Rattus norvegicus: one gene and its partner. The main gene of each other region encodes a partner of the protein of the gene in region 2 in a complex. Links are inferred from orthologs where the notes say so. Each region holds a gene or a part of one and is shown on either strand. Other genes may lie near its edges.

What was found. Proteins that work in one complex are often made in the same cells at the same time.
Region 1: the proteins of Pdpn (region 2) and Clec1b are in contact, whole or in part, in a crystal structure (PDB 3WSR), measured with the Homo sapiens proteins. The link is inferred for Rattus norvegicus from reciprocal best matches to the Homo sapiens genes PDPN and CLEC1B. Residues at the interface, in NP_006465.4 of Homo sapiens: Ala46, Glu47, Asp48, Asp49, Val50; in NP_001380271.1 of Homo sapiens: Arg107, Phe116, Arg118, Arg152, Thr153, His154, Leu155, Arg157.

What each region holds. Positions count from the first base shown.
Region 1 is NC_086022.1:164,536,960-164,539,970, forward strand, and holds part of Clec1b (C-type lectin domain family 1 member B), read left to right. Parts: intron 1-233; coding exon 234-329; intron 330-1,619; coding exon 1,620-1,745; intron 1,746-1,888; coding exon 1,889-2,040; intron 2,041-3,011. UniProt on the Homo sapiens protein: C-type lectin-like receptor that functions as a platelet receptor for the lymphatic endothelial marker, PDPN.
Region 2 is NC_086023.1:160,916,024-160,920,346, reverse strand, and holds the start of Pdpn (podoplanin precursor), read left to right. Parts: upstream 1-1,387; 5' UTR 1,388-1,624; coding exon 1,625-1,691; intron 1,692-4,323. UniProt on the Homo sapiens protein: Mediates effects on cell migration and adhesion through its different partners.

The DNA of each region.
Region 1 (3,011 bases), on a different chromosome or scaffold from region 2:
CACGTTTTGTCAGGCTTTCAGACAGGATCTCAAATAGTCTAGACTGGCACTGAATTTGCTATGTAGTCAAGACTGGCTTTGAACTCTTGATCCTCCTGCTTCTATGTCCCAAGTGTGGGTAACTTTGCTCTCTCACACATAGCTTGCCGTAGTGTTTACGATACTTAGATAATCCTGAGATGCCCAGGATAGCCTGACAGTCTTCTGCTTGCGTCTTTTCTGTCCTTCCACAGCTGAGCCTGCCTCTTCTTGGTGGCGTTTGACGGCTTTAATTCTGCTGATCTCAACCATGGGGCTGGTTGCTGGACTCGTGGCTCTGGGGATCATGTGTAAGTACTGGCTCCTTGCCAGGGTTTTGATCCAAGGAAAACAATAGCCACGAGTTCCTGGTGTACTATACTAAGCTTCCTAAATGTTTTTGCTCCTCTGTTTGTCACCTATTCTGATTGTCCTGAACACTGCTGTGGACATAGCCTCATAGGGTGAAAACTCAGAAGGGAGAGACCTCCCCTCCCCCTCCCCCTGCTCTTATTCAAATCACCTTTAGTTTTTTTCTTTAGTTAAAATTACTTTCAGAATGTATTGCTGGCATTTAAGATTCCTCCTTACTATGGATCCAAGCTATCTTTCTCCCTCTCTGCCTTGCTTAATCTGAGGCCTGAGCAATCTAGAATTTTCCTAATTTCAAAAATAAAGCCTGTGTCTTCCTATATGAAATCTTGCTTGTTCTAGTCTATCTATATAAAATCCACTCCATCCCATTTTATTTACTGACACATTGGTTTTCTGATCATGACTTTCTAATAATAAAACTTTATAAGGTCATGTCATAATTTGTGTTGCTAATTTGTTTATCTTCCTGCTTTAAATACATTTTAGAGTCCCTTATTCCTTATGTTGTTTACATGGATCTGAAAGCATTTTAAACATTGTAACATTACTTTTCTTAATTTAAAATGTTTCATAAGGAACTTGGAAATAAGAAACCAGGCAGCAAAGCTAATCAGACTGCAAAGTCTATGTATGTATCTACCTGAATTTCTATCCAAGGGGTTCTCAGCCTTCCTAATGCTTCGACCCTTTAACTATAGTAACCTCCAACCATGAAATTATGTTCATTGCTACTTCCTAACTGTAATTTTGCTACTGTGATGAATGATAATGTAAATATTTGATATGCAGTATATCTGATATGCCACCTCTGTGAAAGGGTTGTTTGACCCAATGGGTTACAACCTACAGGTTCAGAACCACTGTTCTACATAGTTAGAATAGTCATCCAAACATACATTTTTAGGAAAATTCAGTGTTATATTTAGAACAGAATACAAAACACAAGGCTTCTCATCACTATAAAGCCTGCTTAGAAACCTGTCCAGGAAATATTGAAACAGCTGCCTCAGTCACGTGTTCTCACCTCGGGACTCTCATAGCCAGTCGATTCCCACGCTCTTTACGCAGCCCTTTTAATTTCCTTTTTCAGTATTCATTGAGTTTTTGTATCTGGTGAACTCTTTAGCTACCGGCAGGTTTATAGACATGAAAGTTCACACAAGAATCCTGCCATTATCTTTCTGACCTTGAGACCCAGGTATAATTTATCTCATCTCTACATCTAGCAGTCACACAACAAAAATATCTACTGGCCGAAAAGGAAAATCTCTCAGCCACTCTGCAACAATTGGCCAAGAAATTCTGCCAGGAGTTGATTAGACAATCAGAAATTAAGACTAAGAGCTCTTTTGGTAAGTCTGGCTTGGAAACATCTCTGATGTGCAGCACACATCTGTCACGGTAACTAGAGGGAGGCCCACCGGAGCAGGAATGCTGCAGGTGGGAAAAGCTTTGGCCAGATTTTTGACAGCCCCATCCTCGGTCTCACCTTCAGAGCACAAGTGCAGCCCCTGCGCCACAAAGTGGAGATACCATGGAGACAGTTGCTATGGGTTCTTCAGGCGTAACCTAACATGGGAAGACAGCAAGCTGTTTTGCTCTGAGCAGAATGCAACTCTTGTGAAGACCGCCAGCCAGAGCACGCTGGTAAGGAGGGTCCTATGTCAAGCATTTTGGAACACTAAGGAGAAAGATTGCAAAGGAAACACGGAATCTACTTTACTTTTTCATGTGATTCTTAATGTTTTGCACTGTGGGCTCCTCTGAGAACTCGAGGAAGCTTGGTAAGAACTGCGGAGCTTAAATATTCAATCCAGAATATCGCTGAAGAGTTTCAGTAAGATTGAATTGTTGTGGACCGTCATAACAGTGAAAGTGGACACTGGCTCAGACACTGGATGAGACTGCCCGGGATGTTCCCATCACACTTATCCCAGTTTGCCTGACTTGCTTCTCTTTGCTGTAAGACCAGCTCACAGAGAAGTTTAAAAATTAAATTAACTAAATAAACAGACTCAGTCAAAACAGGGGAGTGCTCTAGCACATCAAACTCCATCATAAAGGGATCAACTGGAGGCACTCCAGGCTATAGCACTTGAACATCTGTAATATAACAAAGAAATGATATCATTTTTTAGACAAGATTAAAGTTAAGAAGTAATATCTTTTTGAGAAGACATTAAAGTTAAATATCAGTTGGATTTTTCTATCAAGTCCCAAAGAGGCATCTTGGGCAGTGAGGATATGTTTTAAACAAAAGATCAGCAGTTAATGAACCAATGGAAAGCTGGTGGGTGGCTCACACTTTAGGGAAGTAAGATTTACAATACCTCCAGTGGACTGTTATTCTGATGGTCACGTCTGTCGGCAAGCTCGAACCAATTGTTGTCATTGATTTCCATATGTGGATTCTTACCTGCTATCCTGCAATGCATAAAGGCGTTATGAACACATGGCTTCCTTTTGCTTTTCTTTCTAAGAGACTGATTGCCCATTCATCTAATAGTCAATCAATGTATACCAGAACCACTCCAGGATCTGAATCTATTTATACTCTATAAAACTGAAATGCTCTAACTTAAAACCCATCAACCAACCAACAAACAAACTAAATTATA
Region 2 (4,323 bases):
CACACACACACACACACACACACACACACACACACACACACCAACCAGGCCATGGGTGCCCACACACAAGTGCACACATGCATGCATCTTCATGGGGACTCTTAGGGAACATTCATTGTTAAGCTCTCTGTAACTTTTTTTTTTTTTTTTTTTGGAGCTGGGGACCGAACCCAGGGCCTTGCGCTTCCTAGGTAAGCGCTCTACCACTGAGCTAAATCCCCAGCCCCAACTTATTTTTTTTTTTTACATTGTGTGTGTGTGTGTGTCTGTGTGTGTGTGTCTGTGTGTGTCTGTGTGTGTGTGTGTACATGTGTGAGCTGTCTGGTCAGAGGGCAACATTCAGGAATCAGGTCTCTCATTTCACCATTGTGGGTTCAGAGCATAGAACTCAAGTCACTAGGCTTGATGACTAAGCCTTCTCTGGGAGTGGGGAATTGGGGGGGGGGGGAATCTTCAGATGCTTTTGTCGAAAGGAATTTATGGCATCTGGGAGTGGAGCCGAGACCACCCCCAACCCTGCTCTTAAGTTCCAGCAGGTTAGAAGGGAACACTTGCTTATACCCACTACCTGAGAGCAAGGAAGGATTTTTTTTTTTTTTTAACCAAGAGACGGGGCATTACCAGCTAAACCCTAGGATTAAAATAGATGAGCTGAACTCTTAGTTCCAGGTGAGTGGCTGCTAGTCAGGTGACACAGCTGCTCCCGTCTCCAGGTGAAGCCACAGTGTCCCAGTATCAGGAGGTCTCATGTGCTCTGCCTTTCAAATCTGTGTAAGTCGCTAGGGCCAAGAACTCTTCAAGGTCAAACACCCCACCCAGACAAGTACCTCACAAAGCCAAGTACTGCACTGGGGGCCAGCTGTGGGAGGACAGGCACCCCACCATCCATGCATCCACGTGCCCTGGATGAGGGCTCAGTTAATTAACGCGAGCCGCCTCAGACTCACACAAACAACGGCTGTTTTCCTTAAACCATCAGATTCAATATTTACAAAAAAATTAAAAAGCCAATGCGTCGTCCTAAAACCATAAAACCAGCCGCACAGGCCACTGTGTGAGTCTCCCTTCTGCCCAGTAACAAGAAAACCTAAGTCGTGTGCCTTGCCCTTCAAAGCAGAATAGTAAAGATAGTAGAAAAATAAATAAAAATTGTAAAACAGAACTGTGTATTGCATCTGTCCCCCCTACCCCCCTTCTCCTGTAGTGGAACAAAGTCAAACGCTTTTTTTTTTTTTTTTTTTTTGGCCTGGGCTGGGCCCCCAGTGGCTGAGGCCCTGTAACTTTAAACCTGGCCTGAGGTCATCTTGTGATGCTGGCCAAACAGAATTCGGGGGCGGTCCTAGATCTCCGGGACCACCTGACGCCCACCCGCCCCCGCCCCCGTACTGGAGACATAAATTGCCGACTGTGCTGAGAAGTTGCCAGTTGCCAAGTTTGCTGTGCTTGCTCCCTCCGCTCGCATTGAAAGCCCGGGCACTCTCTGTCGCTGGGACTCTTGCTCACCGCTTGCCAGCCTCCTCCAGAGCTCTTCTCGGCTGGGCCTGTGGCTTCGAAGTTTTTTTGTTTTTTCATCTTTTCACAACCCACAAAAACCACTAGCTGCTGAGGCTCCAACGAGATCAAGATGTGGACCGCGCCAGTGTTGCTCTGGGTTTTGGGGAGCGTTTGGTTCTGGGACTCAGCGCAGGGAGGTAAGCGCCACGCCTGATTGGCAACCCCGCACTTGCTGATGGGGATGGAGGGAGGCGGGGGTTGCTTGGGCCTGGGATCTGGAGGTGCCGGGGAGAGCGGTGGGGCAGCTTAGATGGGGCTTAGAAGAGTCCCCGGGAACAGCCCAGTGGGTGTGGCAGTAGAATCGGGATCCACAGGTGATAGGAGTACAGAATGGCCCTTACCCCCCCCCGGGGGGGGGTCTAATGGTCCGGGATGGGAGGGTGACGCCAAGGGCGACTGGACTGGCCCAAAGAGCAGTGCGTTAGCGGAATGGTTAGTGTCTCTGAAAACTAGGGACAGGAGAGCATAGGTTAGAACTCGGGGTCACACCCTAACTGGGGACAGACCTGAAGAGTCTTCGCAAATTAGGGTGGTAGCTGGAAGGGGCGGTGAAATAGATTGAACCACAGCTTGAACCGCACACTGCTGCCTTTATAGCACCCTTGTTGTCTGCCTCGTTCTTTCTTCCTCCCCAAACCCCTGCACTGGAACCCAGGGCGTCCAGCCTGCTAGAACGCCACTGAATGTACCCCCCTAACCTGGAGGGTTGCTGTGAGCACTGAAGGGCATGTATTGAACTTGGCCAAGGACTCAAAGGCTGAATTAGTGTTAATAAAAGACCAGTGGAGCTTGAGCATGTAGTTCAGTTGGCCGAGTCCTTACTTTGCACGCATGACGCTCCCCTGTTCCATCCCCAGCAAGTATAAAAACCAGTATAGTGATGCTCAACTGTGTGATGGGAGCCTTTCAAGGGGCATGAGGGGTTTGAAACCGGCCCAGACTTTTAAGACCCTGACTAGAAAGAAACGGAATGGTGGGGACCACCATCAGATCCTCCTCTTCTGTCTTCCGTTCCTCTGTCTGCTGTGATGTATGGCTGGGATCTGGGACCGGTCCCCATTATTTTTATTTCTTGCCTGGACGTTTTAAGTTGTGTGTGTTTCGCTGGTGGAATCTAAGCTCTAACCTCGATCCCGGGGCCAAAGCATCATCTGACAGTGGCACTTGCTCAGTAAATACCGATTGAAGGCTCTAGCGGTCTTCGAAGGAGCGGTCTGTGTGAGATGGGTGGGCCTAGCTAGCCTAGGCTTCTATAATTCTCCACAGACAACACCTACCTAGTGTTAGGGAAATTATATAGAGTGCATTGGGTGGGGTTGTCTGCTTCAAAGAGACGAAGCTATTCTTTAATGGTGCTCGGGGCTATTCCCGGCAGTCCTATCTTTGAAACTTCTCCTCGCGCTAGGATATATATACAGTTCTGTATTTCGGTTCCATTTCCGCGGTGGCGAGACAGTGCACGTTAAGAACATGACTTTTCACTCACCAGCGCAAATCGAGGGGAGGCACCCACCCCAAACCACATCCTAGGAAAGCCAGAGGCTGGCTAACATCCTCCTAAGGCAGGGTAGAGTGCTCCTAAAATGTAGCTGGTATTTGGTCTTGTCTAGAAAGGCGTCATCCCTCAGTTATACCAGAAACTGCATAACAGAAGAAAGAGGCTTGGTAACGGGATGTCCAGAGGGACGGCCATGTGGCCAGTTGTTTGCAGGCTGCCCTGCTGCAAGGTTGAGCCTGCAGTGTTTTTGTCTGAGACTAATGAATATGGATGAGTAACTCCATTGAGTTAAGCTATTACTGGGGAGCCAGACCGGGGGTGATTGTGTCGGGGGGTGATTGTGGCGTGCTAATTCTTCTGTTACAGTCGTGCACCATACTGACTTATAATCCAACCCCCCTTGCAACCTCCGAAGTGGACTTTAACAAGGCCTGTGTCCTCTCATCTGGCATCGCCCTCCCCCCTTGCCCGGCCCCACCCTCACTCTGAACTTTCATCCAGAGCCGGTACCCCAGGACTTCCCCGTTAGACATTGCTTTTTATACAATTCCACAAGCTGCCGCTTGCCGCTAACCCACGGTGCTCTCGCTAACCCATGTGTGCTCTTTCCGGGACCAGTCAGAGCAGGATTAATCACGTGGCAAAGGAATCATCCTGTGATTTCCCTGAAGTTCTTGCCAGTTTCGGGGGCCCTGGAATCCTCACAAGCTGCTGAGAGCTTATGTGGCCAAGGAGGCCTTGAATAAAGCTGGTTCTGTTTGAGTTTCTGTGGGGGGAGCTGGGGCTTACGATCCCAAACCAAGTTCAGAGGGAGGGAAACGTCTAATGTGTGTAGAGCAGCAGAGGGCTGAGTGTAGCCACAACCAACAAGAAAGACAAAACACAGCCCACCATTGACTTGGCACTGGGACACGGACAGACCCAAGTCTTGAGGGAGAATGGCCCCGACTAGTGGGCGGGACACCCCCACCTCTTTGCCTTTCCATCCCCCACCACATTCTAGGAATGTCACAGCTTACCTCATTTAATCCCTACCACTCCTGTAAATTATACCCTCTTAACTCAGAAGCTGCTGGGACCGTGATTTAGAAAGTAAGTCAAGCCTTTTACTATGATTGACCTTAAGGGGAAAAAAAAAGATGACTGAACTTGATACTGCAGATGGAGTTCACTTGCAAACATGAATTAAAAAAAAATTACACACTCCCTATACTAGAATGGATTTGGCATGGTGCATTAAAATAGATTGCTTTATAAATTGTCCCGGCAGG